3 linked regions of the Daphnia pulex genome follow. The protein of the gene in region 3 purifies or fractionates together with the protein of the main gene of each other region. This does not show direct contact. Links are inferred from orthologs where the notes say so. Each region holds a gene or a part of one and is shown on either strand. Other genes may lie near its edges. The genes, in order: mRNA turnover protein 4 homolog, ribosome biogenesis protein NSA2 homolog and GTP-binding protein 4-like.

What was found.
Region 1: the proteins of GTP-binding protein 4-like (region 3) and mRNA turnover protein 4 homolog purify together in Homo sapiens (affinity purification with mass spectrometry; 3 studies listed by BioGRID and IntAct, counting the BioPlex papers as one, with this or other methods). This does not show direct contact. The link is inferred for Daphnia pulex from reciprocal best matches to the Homo sapiens genes GTPBP4 and MRTO4.
Region 2: the proteins of GTP-binding protein 4-like (region 3) and ribosome biogenesis protein NSA2 homolog purify together in Homo sapiens (affinity purification with mass spectrometry; 3 studies listed by BioGRID and IntAct, counting the BioPlex papers as one, with this or other methods). This does not show direct contact. The link is inferred for Daphnia pulex from reciprocal best matches to the Homo sapiens genes GTPBP4 and NSA2.

The regions. Positions count from the first base shown.
Region 1 is NC_060019.1:12,247,697-12,251,421, reverse strand, and holds mRNA turnover protein 4 homolog, read left to right. Parts: upstream 1-1,382; 5' UTR 1,383-1,515; coding exon 1,516-1,543; intron 1,544-1,603; coding exon 1,604-1,766; intron 1,767-1,827; coding exon 1,828-1,977; intron 1,978-2,062; coding exon 2,063-2,214; intron 2,215-2,299; coding exon 2,300-2,376; intron 2,377-2,715; coding exon 2,716-2,868; 3' UTR 2,869-3,072; downstream 3,073-3,725. UniProt on the Homo sapiens protein: Component of the ribosome assembly machinery. Nuclear paralog of the ribosomal protein P0, it binds pre-60S subunits at an early stage of assembly in the nucleolus, and is replaced by P0 in cytoplasmic pre-60S subunits and mature 80S ribosomes.
Region 2 is NC_060018.1:12,627,401-12,630,735, forward strand, and holds ribosome biogenesis protein NSA2 homolog, read left to right. Parts: upstream 1-1,447; 5' UTR 1,448-1,544; intron 1,545-1,867; 5' UTR 1,868-1,932; coding exon 1,933-2,715; 3' UTR 2,716-2,741; downstream 2,742-3,335. Other genes in the region: ATP synthase subunit s, mitochondrial-like, read right to left, coding at 297-604, 658-866, 924-1,009. UniProt on the Homo sapiens protein: Involved in the biogenesis of the 60S ribosomal subunit. May play a part in the quality control of pre-60S particles.
Region 3 is NC_060026.1:14,945,805-14,950,013, forward strand, and holds GTP-binding protein 4-like, read right to left. Parts: upstream 2,844-4,209; 5' UTR 2,702-2,843; coding exon 2,651-2,701; intron 2,585-2,650; coding exon 734-2,584; 3' UTR 381-733; downstream 1-380. Other genes in the region: uncharacterized protein LOC124204378, read left to right, coding at 3,352-3,555, 3,625-3,904, 3,997-4,209. UniProt on the Homo sapiens protein: Involved in the biogenesis of the 60S ribosomal subunit. Acts as a TP53 repressor, preventing TP53 stabilization and cell cycle arrest.

The sequences.
Region 1 (3,725 bases), on a different chromosome or scaffold from region 3:
CTTCTTTACAAAAGAGAAAATGGCTGCACATAAAGACACACCAGTACAGACTTTTGAAGGAAAGGAATGTGGGATGGGTTGGTGCGAGCTGTCGCGTAGGGAGCAAAGATGGCGCCTCTCACTAGCTGCACTAGAGAACATTCTACTCTAGACGCCCTGTTCCTCACCGGCTACAGCTTCACGCTGCCCAACCGAATTTCCATTACATTTATTCGCAAAAAGAACAATCTCACGATTTCTCACTTTAATCCTTGCCGTCCTTGCTTACATTTACCATATTCAAGTTTCTCAAACTTACGTGAGTGGGTGCCGAAGTGTAGCGGAAAATGCCTCGCTGGCTGAGCTTTACCAACTGAGAACTGTCTTTGGCGAATGCAAGTCGTCCTTTCCTTCCCACTAGTTTAAATCGATATGCGATGTAATCGATTCTTTGTTAATCGAGTCTTTATTAATCGATATACGCGCGTCGGCAACACAATCGACGATCGAATTCTTGGATGAAGTCGCCAAGTATGAAAGACTGGACACTGAAATGCTGTCGGAGCTAGCGCCATCTGCGACAACAGGAAAACTTGCAAAGAATTCTCTTAAGATATTTTTAGACTCAAATTGCCCAAGATCTTACCACACAGCTACGGTGAAACAAGTTTCATAACTTTTAAATATTTATATTTGTACGGTACACTTTATACGAATTATACTTTCTATTCGATTAAATATCGGAATAAAGGGGGCGCTGACGGTTGAGTCTCTGAACAGTCTTTTTATCTCCAAAAGAACCTTACTCTGTGCCAGAATAGTAAATGGGAGGGAAAAAAATAGAATGTTCTCGAGCTTCAGTATGTCCCTGTGGCCAAATGAACATTTTCGAAATAAAAACATGGACAATTGATGAAAGATACTTGTTTCCAATGAAACTTTATAGTTTAGATCTAGAAAAACTACCCAATAGTCCCAAACGCTCAGCGATTGAGTGATAATTATTTTGGTTGCTATGTCTTTGCCAGGTCCTTGCTCGCTCATCACTCGTCGCATTGAAGAACAACAAACGAGTCATAAGAATACCGGTCTCAAATACTACTTTTACCTTTGAATAAAAGAAATAAACACATAGGGCTTCGAGCTCAGTTTCTTTGAAATTCAATAAATTTAGGCCTACAGCTGCAAAGATAATGATTAATGAATCATAGATTTCAGATAAGTAAAATGCTTGGAGCGAGAGTCACTTGAGTAATTTGAATGTTGACATGAATGTGAATGTATAATATTAAAATAATCCTACTGTTATCGTACTTAATGTTTCAAATGCAATTTACAGAATAATGTAAAATCTGGGAAAATAAGAAAATATCGTTAATTTTTATACATTTAAAAATAATCGGCAACTTTGTAGTTGTTTGCAGACGACTCACAGTCTCAAAGTCTTTCTTTAGGATAGTAAACGAAACACGTGGTTTTTCCAAACTTGAAGTCGAGACGCTATTTCCGCTAATTTAAACCTAAACAACATTTAAAATGCCTAAAACTAAGCGATTCCAAAAAAGTAAGTTTCTCTGTTTGTTTAACTTTTGTAAAAACTGAATTTAATGTTTTTATTTTTCAGTTTCATTGACACAAACTAAGAAGAAGGGTCTTGGTGGAAAACAGCAATTGGTTGAGGACATTAGATCTTGTGTTGAGAAATATTCTTACTTGTATCTCTTTTCAGTTCAAAATATGAGGAGTAACAAACTGAAATCTATTCGTAATGAGTGGAAAGACAGCAGGTAAACTTGGTTTTATGATGAATCATGAAATGTCAATTATAATTTGCTTGGTCGGATTCAGGTTCTTCCTCGGTAAAAACAGAGTGATTGCTATTGCATTAGGTAGAACTAAAGAGTCTGAAAGCAGAGAGAACCTTCATGAAGTCTCTAAAAGACTTAAAGGGCAGTGTGGAATTGTCTTCACAGATAAACCAAAATCTGAAGTCATCAGGTAACCATATTGTCATTGGATAGTTTAGTTTAATGTTTTCATACACACAAGGAATTAGAAATAAATTGTGGTTATATTCATGTAGATACTTCCAAAAGCATGTAGAATCAGATTATGCCAGGTCTGGTAATGTTGCTACCGAAACTGTCACACTCCAACCCGGTCCTTTAGAGCAGTTCCCTTTCAACATGGAGCCATACCTGAGACAACTAGGTCTCCCCACATCTCTTCAAAGAGGTATTTACACATCACAAATTTAAAATTAAAAAAAATTCCAGATTATCATCTAATGATGTGCATATCTCTTCTGTTTGTTGACAAGGTGTTGTGACATTGCTGAAAGAACACACAGTTTGCAAAGAGGGAAGCATTCTTACTCCTGAAGAAGCCAGACTTTTGGTAAATTATATTTATTTTCTCCTTTGTTTGTGAAAAGTCATGTCTAGAGTGCTTTATGTATAGTAATGCACCCGTCCGTTAATAGTTCTTAAAGACGAAGAGCGTGAGTTCATTAAATTTGATGTAATTTAGTAAGAAATTGTTTTAAGGACCACTCGGATAAATGGAGTAGGGAGAGTGGTCGTTTATTTAATAACCAACCTCGCGTGCGCTTCAAAGCTCTAACAGAAGCACAGCAGCTACATGCAGGGCATATTGCGTCATATAATTAAGATTTCGATTTTTTACGGCGAAGTACCTCATTTATGTTTCTTTTTTTTTTAAATTCTACTTTTAAAGAAACTGCTTTGCAAACACATGGCGGAATTCAGAGTGACCATTGAAGCCGTTTGGGAAAAAGAAGATGGCGCTTTCGAAGATATCGGAAACGGACGTATGTTGGAGAAAGAAGATGACGCAAACGAATCTGCCGACGATGAGAATATGGAATGAATTTTCCCATAACATTTTTTTTTTCTGAATGATAAACTGTATTGGTGTATCAACGAGGGACATAGTCGTTATACAAGTGACTAATGTTTACCTATGGTCATCCCTATGTACATCGTCTTGTCCTTGAATAAGAAAAAGAAACAAGATGCTCTTACATTTCAGACGAATGAAATGTACACGACAAAATTACACGGTTTCATTTCAGTCACTTGTCAATGTTAAGAAACGAAGCTAACGATATTAATTCATATATATATATATGTGTGTGTGTTTATGTAAAGATTGGGTACTGTTGAATAACGGGCAATCGTATTTTGACAGATAATTGAAACATGTAACCCGAAAATATTTACATTTCGATACTCGATTCGAAGGATAAAGAGAACAGGTAAACAGTTGAGGGACACAAGTTACACAATTTTCGCCGTGAGTTGTATAGGAGTCTCCAGTCGAGGGGAGGTCACACACAATCTGGGCGGCCCATTCCAGATCACGGGATCAGAGGGGTGGGATTCTCACAATATTTTTTTTTCTTTCTTTCCATTTTTTTTTATCACGTTCCCTCCTCCACCAAGGAAAAATATACAAACGAAAAAGCAGTGCTATAAACCAGTCCCTTAGTTCCCCACCATCTGCGCGGCTATAGCTACAAACATAAGAGATACACACACGCGAGAGAAAATACAGTGAAAAAAAAAATTATACGTGACGAAAAAACTCCTCATCGATAACTATATGTGTGTGTGGGTTGAAACAACGACATTATAATGTATAAACTTTGGTATGAAAAAGGTGACAACCCCCTTAAATAAGGACAAAAAAAAAGTATGGGCTGGTGGGGACCTCTAGAAAACAAA
Region 2 (3,335 bases), on a different chromosome or scaffold from region 3:
TTTTTTGTGCCTATCTTAATTTAGTGATATTTAGTGTGCGAGTGTTTAGCTGCTACTCAAGTTGAACCATTACTCTTAACTCCTTCTACAATATATAATGAAATTTTTCAAAAACGATCAGCGTATAAAACAGAACTAATAACATGCGGGTACTACTCACTATATTCACGATACGTAGCCTGATTTGTTATTAATGTATTTATGTGATTTACGCGAGTCTCGTCGCATTCTGAGCGGAAACAAATACAGTCGGTTCAACAAACATCAACACTTAATAAAACTATTGAAAATCGATATTATTCTTTATCGGTTTTGAGTTCGCTGACTCTGGCGTAGGGGAACTCGATGTCACACTTTGGAAGAGCCGAATGCAGGAACTCTATGCAGCCTTCTCTGTTGGTGACTTCCGGCAAATCATAGAGGAGCAAGTGACGCAAGTTGGAGAGACACGACAGTGATTTTATGGCTGAATCACTAATGTCACCACAACTGCTCAACTGAAGTTCTTCAAGTGAACCTTTGACTGCTGCCAGCATTGGCAGGGCTTCGTTGTCCAAGTAGTTGCATTTGTGAAGGGTCAGTTTTTTCAGATGATCGAGTCCTCCTGCAGAGAAATATGTTAGCATGAATTGGAAGATTATGTGCTTTATCTCATACTCAAGTGAGGAAATCCAACTGACATGATACATGATCCTGTGGCATCAATTTCTTCAATCAACAAACTTCGGTAGCCCCCGGGAGGCAAGCTGTTGTAGTCTTTGAGAACAGATTCCTTGTCCTTCCATCTCACACCTGCTCCACAACGAAGAAGCCACTCTGCTGCAGCTCTGTCTGGTCCAACATCCTTGATTCTCGACTCATCCACTCTGTAGAAGCAGATTAATTTTAATAAAAAAATTTATGTAAACTGAAATTAAAATTACTTGTTGGTGATTGTGTTTAACCATCCCCAGATAGTTCGCTTAGACTGAGATTGTAACAGATTCCTCACTGCCAAAAGTTTCACCATTTCTACAATAAATGAAGAGAATGTTACGCTGTTTTATTTTCTTTTATTAACTCTGTCACTTGGTTAACAATTAGATATTAATAATAAAAGAACACAAAACGGGCAGGGTAAACTGAAAATCAAGTCGTTCTTGTCAATTTGTTTAATCTAATTCGTAATTAACCGAAAATATCCTAAATATTTACTTCAACGTTTATGTTACGTTCTTGCTGTTTAATGTTTACAAATTTTGCCGGTATAAAACGCCACCTAGCGGCAAAAACGCTCAAATACAGAAAATGCTTTTCACGTACTTTGAAATAAATTGCAAAGAGTTCGTGAATTTTTTAACCCTATAATGAATTAATTTTCATACTTTGTAATTTTATTAAAAGTACATTGTTGTTTTCTATAATTTTTTTATTAATTATGGTGAATCGTGAATTTTCGATTCGTTAGGAAGTCGCAACGTTGCCGCTATGCTTCTTCTTCTTGAAGCTCTCAGTGTTCTTTCCTTTCAAGTATCGAGCTGCTAGTGGGGAGAGTGCTATTGCAGGTGAGTTCTCTCGAGCTTTTTAATATATTATTTAGATAATCTTGAGTAATTGCTCTTTTTAATGTCTTACTACTATCATGCTAAGTTGAGTAAGCGTGGGCGTTGTTATTTTTAGTTATTTGATAAGTGGAAATGTGTTACTTGCGATTGTCGGCCATCGGCAGCAACGTGGTTGTCTGTCGCCATTTTGACATTTTTTAAGGCTCAGTAGTAGACAGGCGTTTTTTCTAGATTTACATCTTGGTACTTAAAAGATGGTCAGACAACGCACCCTTATACATGCATAGTTCATGTAATTGAAGTCTTACCCCCTGTATTTTCAGGGTAAACTGTTGTCTGACCAGCTTTAGTTCACACACACACAGAGTTCTCCCCAACCACCACCACCATGCCACAGAACGAGCACATTGAGTTGTTCCAGAAGCGCTATGGCTTTCGCATGGATTATCAAGAAAGGCAGCGAAAGAAGAAGGCCAGGGAGCACAAACTGCAATCGAAGATGGCCCAGAAGCTGATTGGTATCAAGGGCAAGATCTTTGCCAAGAAGCGCTACTCTGAAAAGGTGCAACTCAAGAGGACCATCAAGGCACATGAAGAAAAGAAGACTCGCAAGAAGGAAGATGGAAAGGTGCCTGAAGGAGCCATGCCTGCTTACCTCCTGGATCGTGAGAACACATCACAAGCCAAACTGCTGTCTTCTATGGTGAAGCAGAAGCGCAAGGAGAAGGCTGGCAAATGGGATGTTCCTCTACCCAAAGTTCGTGCCCAGTCAGAAGCTGAAGTGTTCCGTGTCTTGAAGACGGGCAAGAGCCGCAGAAAGGGCTGGAAGAGGCTGGTGACCAAAGTTTGCTTCGTCGGAGAAGGTTTCACTCGTAAGCCGCCCAAGTACGAGCGTTTCGTCCGACCCATGGCATTGCGGTTCAAGAAGGCTCACGTCACACATCCGGAATTGAAAGCTACATTTTGTCTCCCGATTGTTGGCGTCAAGAAGAATCCCTCCTCTCCAATGTACACATCTCTGGGTGTCATAACAAAGGGAACCATCATTGAAGTCAATGTTTCTGAACTCGGTCTCGTCACTCAGGGTGGCAAAGTTGTGTGGGGCAAATATGCCCAAGTGACCAATAATCCTGAAAACGACGGATGTATCAACGCCATTTTGCTCGTTTGAACATAATACACACGAATTTTCGTTTAGCTTCGCCGTTTTAGCCTACGTTATCTTAGACTAGTCTTTAAGTTAAATTTGTGTGATTTAAATGTTTTCAAATATAAAATGTTTTAATTTGTTTATTTTTCTTTTGCAGCCGAGTTGTATGTTGTAAAACTCCACGATGCAGATCTTCGTTAAAACCCTCACGGGTAAAACCATTACCCTCGAAGTTGAGCCTTCTGACACTATCGAAAATGTCAAAGCCAAAATCCAGGATAAGGAAGGTATAAAAGCTCACCAAAGTTTCAATTTACATTTCTAATTATTTTGATGAGTTGACGTTCTTAGGACACTTAATATGTACACTGATTATAATAAGCGTTTATTTATCTGAATTTTCTGCATTTAATCATTCCCAGAAATACCTAGTTGGCACTTTTCTCATCATTGTCTCGTTCCTTTCAGGTATTCCTCCTGATCAGCAGAGGTTGATCTTCGCTGGCAAGCAGCTGGAAGATGGTCGCACTTTGTCCGACTACAACATCCAGAAGGAATCCACCTTGCACTTGGTGCTCCGCCTTCGTGGTGGTGCCAAGAAGCGCAAGAAGAAGAACTACACCACTCCCAAGAAGAACAAG
Region 3 (4,209 bases):
AAGTTCCGGCCTTTCACCCCAATTGTGAGACAAACAAACAACTAAATCAAAAACAAAACAAAAAATCCAAGCGTCAGAGACCCCATTCGACTTGTTTTGATGTTGTTGTTGTTGTTTACTTGGCCCTTATTTGGCGATATGTGCAAAAATGTAAGGGAAGGTTACGCAGGTCTCTCTCTCTCTCTCTTTTGTTTGCGTCACAGAGTGCGCGATTCTAACCCAAGGCAACAAGTTGTTTACAAAAGTTTCAATCTTTTTGGCTTGGTGCCCATTTTCAAATAAACAAGACCCCAGAGCGCGTCGGATCACCAAGTTTTTCCTTTTCGTTATTTAAAAAAAAACTTATGTAAAATACTCAATAAATTATTGAAATTCAAAACTTTTTATCGAGACTGACGCCAACACGGTGTACTATTTTTCTTTCATTGAAATATTTTCCACAGCGGTCGAATTAATAAACAAAACACGCTGAAAAGAAAAACACAACAATTAAAGAGTACACATGAACCGAGAGAGGGCTGGAAGTGGCACATTTAAAACAAAAAAGCACAGGACCTTTTTTTGAGAATTGATGAACTCAGCAGGCAATCAGGGACTTTTGATGTGATAAGACGTCATATTCAACCTTGGCCTCTCCAACAAACTCCAGGAGCCGGGGCATCAGTCTCGTTGGATTCCTCTTCTTCGTAATCGTTTCGGATGTTGTTTTTAATTCTTACAATTTCTCTGTCTTTTAACGGCGATCGGTTTTACCAATGCCGCGCTTGCCGGAGTAAAGATGTCTGGGCATCTTGACTGCAATGTGTCGATCGGCTTCACCAGCCTTACCGAATTGATTCATCTTGCCCTGAGCTTTGTGACCCATCTTCTTGGCCTTGGCCTTGAGCTCAACGTTGCGGATGCCCGACTGGTCGCGCGGAGTGACGCGAGACGACGAGCTGACGCGTCCGGCAGAATCGGCGCGGGCCTTCTTGATGGGCGGACGGCTGGCCGAGCGCGATTTAGTGCGAGAGAAGTGAGCGCCACTCTTGTTGCTCATGTCGACGCCGAGTTCCTCGAACTCGGAGCGCAGACGGCTGACGGAACGCTCGCGCTTGCGTCCAGCGCGAGGCATCACGGGGGCACCTCCGCTGCGACCGATGCGACCCTCGATGGCGATGATGGCCTTCTTCTCGCGAATCTTGCCAGCTAACCGGTGGATCTCCTTCTCTTCATCGTCCATCTCTTCTTCCTCCTTTTCGTAGACTCCGGATTCAACCCGCAGCTCTTCCTCGCGCTCCAGCTCCTCCAGCTTGGCCATGATGTCAGGGTCGATGTAGTCGGCGATGTTCTTGCCTTCCCAGAATTCAGGAATGACGTCGTATTTGAAGTCGGCCGGAAGGTCGTAATTCTTTTTCAAATCCAGCGAGTAATCATCTTCCAGCTCAACCTCGAGATCGCGTTCCGTCTTCTTCTTGATCTTGGGTCCCTTCTCCAGACGTTTTTCAATCACCTTCTCGGGCACGAAGGCCGGACGTGTGCATCCGTCGCGAGGTTTAGGCAGAGCCACGTGCAGTCGGTTGAGAATGCCTTCCACCTTCTTGCTCTTGATCTTCACCTCGATTCTGTGGGACAGCAAACGTTCGCAGGCTTCCGTTTTGACATTCATCACTCCTTCTTCGCTGAATGTCGACATTTCCATAACGGGGATGTCGTCATTAATGAAACCTTGAATCAAGGCCTTTTGTTCAGGATTCAGCTCCTCCAGACGGATGACATCTGTCTTGTTCAGCACCACGAGCAATGGCTTGTTGGCAAAGAGAGGCTTGATGCTCTCAAAGAGTGCCACTTGCTGTTCGATGGTGTGACCACATTGCTCTGAAATGTCCATGACGTAGAGGATAGCAGCTCTCAGATGGGCCAAGGCAGCAATGGCCTGCATTTCAATGGTGTTACGATCTTCAAGAGGGTGATCCAAAATTCCTGGGGTGTCCACCACCTGCCAACGCAGGTAGCGATGATCAGTATGCCCGACAAAGAGCGACTTGGTCGTGAAAGCGTAAGGCTGGACTTCAACATCTGCCCTAGTGATCTTGTTGATGAAGCTGGATTTGCCGACATTGGGGAATCCACAGATAAGCAGTGTCCGGGTATTTGGGTCAATGGAAGGCAGACGGGAGAGATGCTGCCTGACCTGCTCCAGATATTGAAGACTCTGCGCTTGCCTCTTCATGATGGTGGCCATGCGACCCAAGGCTGCCTTCTTGAGCTGCTTGCAGCGGTACAGGGAGTCACCGTACTTGAGAAGACGGACATAATCTTTGGAGACATTGTCAATCAAATGCAGGGCAATGTTGATCTGACCAAGAGCTAATTTGTAATGATCCTTGTCGTAGAGAACATTCATCAAATCAGCATAGAAGGGATGAATATCGTCCAGCTTGGGGAAATCGGTCAGAATGGTGGACAATTTGTCATGAAAGGTCTGCTGGGAAAACTTGACTTTGCGCATGTAGAATTGACGGATACGAGAAATCTTGTACTGCTTGTGGACTACAGTTGGCGTCTTTCGTTGAGTTTTCGACAAGACGATGTCGATAAAATCCTGTGAAGTTAGCGAAACGTTAGCTGGCCCATCCAACAAGTAATGAAATATCTGCGTTTAATTTACCTTCGCCGTCGGAACGATGACAATCTTTTTGAAATTGTATTGCGACGTCATTTTGTTGATGGTAAGAGTGTCGCACTATTGAAAATTACACGTTTTTCAGAGAAATTCTCTGAAATATTCAGCAATGGCGCAGCCCACTGCTCACACGTGCAACGAAAAGAAAGAAGACACAAGAAAATCGGACATCTAGTGGTAGACTTTTATTCTCTTACTCTTTGCATCACTAGCGGCATCTATCAACATAATCTGCATAGAATTTGAATCGAGTTTTTTAAATTTTTTACTATTCTTTTGCATCAAACTTACTATTCATGTATTCAAAGATTAAGAAAAACAAAAATAAGGATAAATGTATTTACCGTTTACTTCATTTCAGCTCGAATATTTAGAAACGAAAGAAAAAGCTTTTATGCGGGAAACAAAATATACCACGATGGGGCTCAACCACGATATTTAAGTGCATGTGAATCCCCGCTCCTTATCGTGCTTGTATATAATACAAAACAAATATTTGCACAACAGAATTTACAGCCAGGATCCAAAATTTAAAATGTCAGTTTTAATCAGCGGGTGAGTTTTTCAAATAAGATAATGTAATGTAAACTCGATGTAGTGTTTATACAAGGTATAAGAAACCGAGTCCTATAAAATACGACGCAATCGTGCAACGCAATAGCTCAGTCTAAAAATTTGTGTAAAAAATGTCTCGTTTCTCAGTCGGTGTCAGTTTGATATTCATTTTAGGTTGCGGCGCGATTTGTTCTTCCGCTTCTGCCACCTATTCCTTAGAAGACAAATTGAAAGAATTAGAATCGAGACTCGAAACGAAAATCGATTTATTAGAGTCTAAAAATAGAGAACTTGAAGAAAAGGTGACGCAACTGGGGACCCAATTAGAACGAAATGTAAGTTTCTAAACAGATTCATCTTGTTATTTTCCTCCAATAGATTAAATACAATTTGATTTACACTAGAATGAAAGTAGAGACGAATTGGCTCTACAAGTTATCGAATTGAAAACTAAAGTTCAAGAACAAGACAAAGTTTTATCCGTCCTATTGAGAGAAAAGAAGGCAGATTCAGATGTTTCGATCAACATTAATAATCAATCACCCGTGGCTGTCAATGGATTGCCATCTTCGTGTGCAGATCTCAAAAGCATGGGCCACATCTGGAACGGATTTTATTCCGTTATGGGAAATACAACGATGGAATCCGTTTACTGCGATTTCACTAAACCCCCAAGCGATGCGGGTAATTTTGATTATTCTGCGTACTGTATGTTTTGTTGTAATCATCAATATTTTTTTAATATTTTTTATTATGATTTACTTTATTTGGAAAAGGTTTCCAAAAATGGATCGGATACAACGGCGTCAAATCAGCACCCGTCTATTTCCACGCTACGAGATCTTATAGTTTTAACACAATTGGACTCCCAATTAACTACACTTACATACCGTTGAACGTAGGAAATGCTATGGATGGGGCATCAGGAATATTCACGGCCCCACGATCGGGAGTTTATTTCTTCGCCTTCACGGGACAGGTGGAGTTTC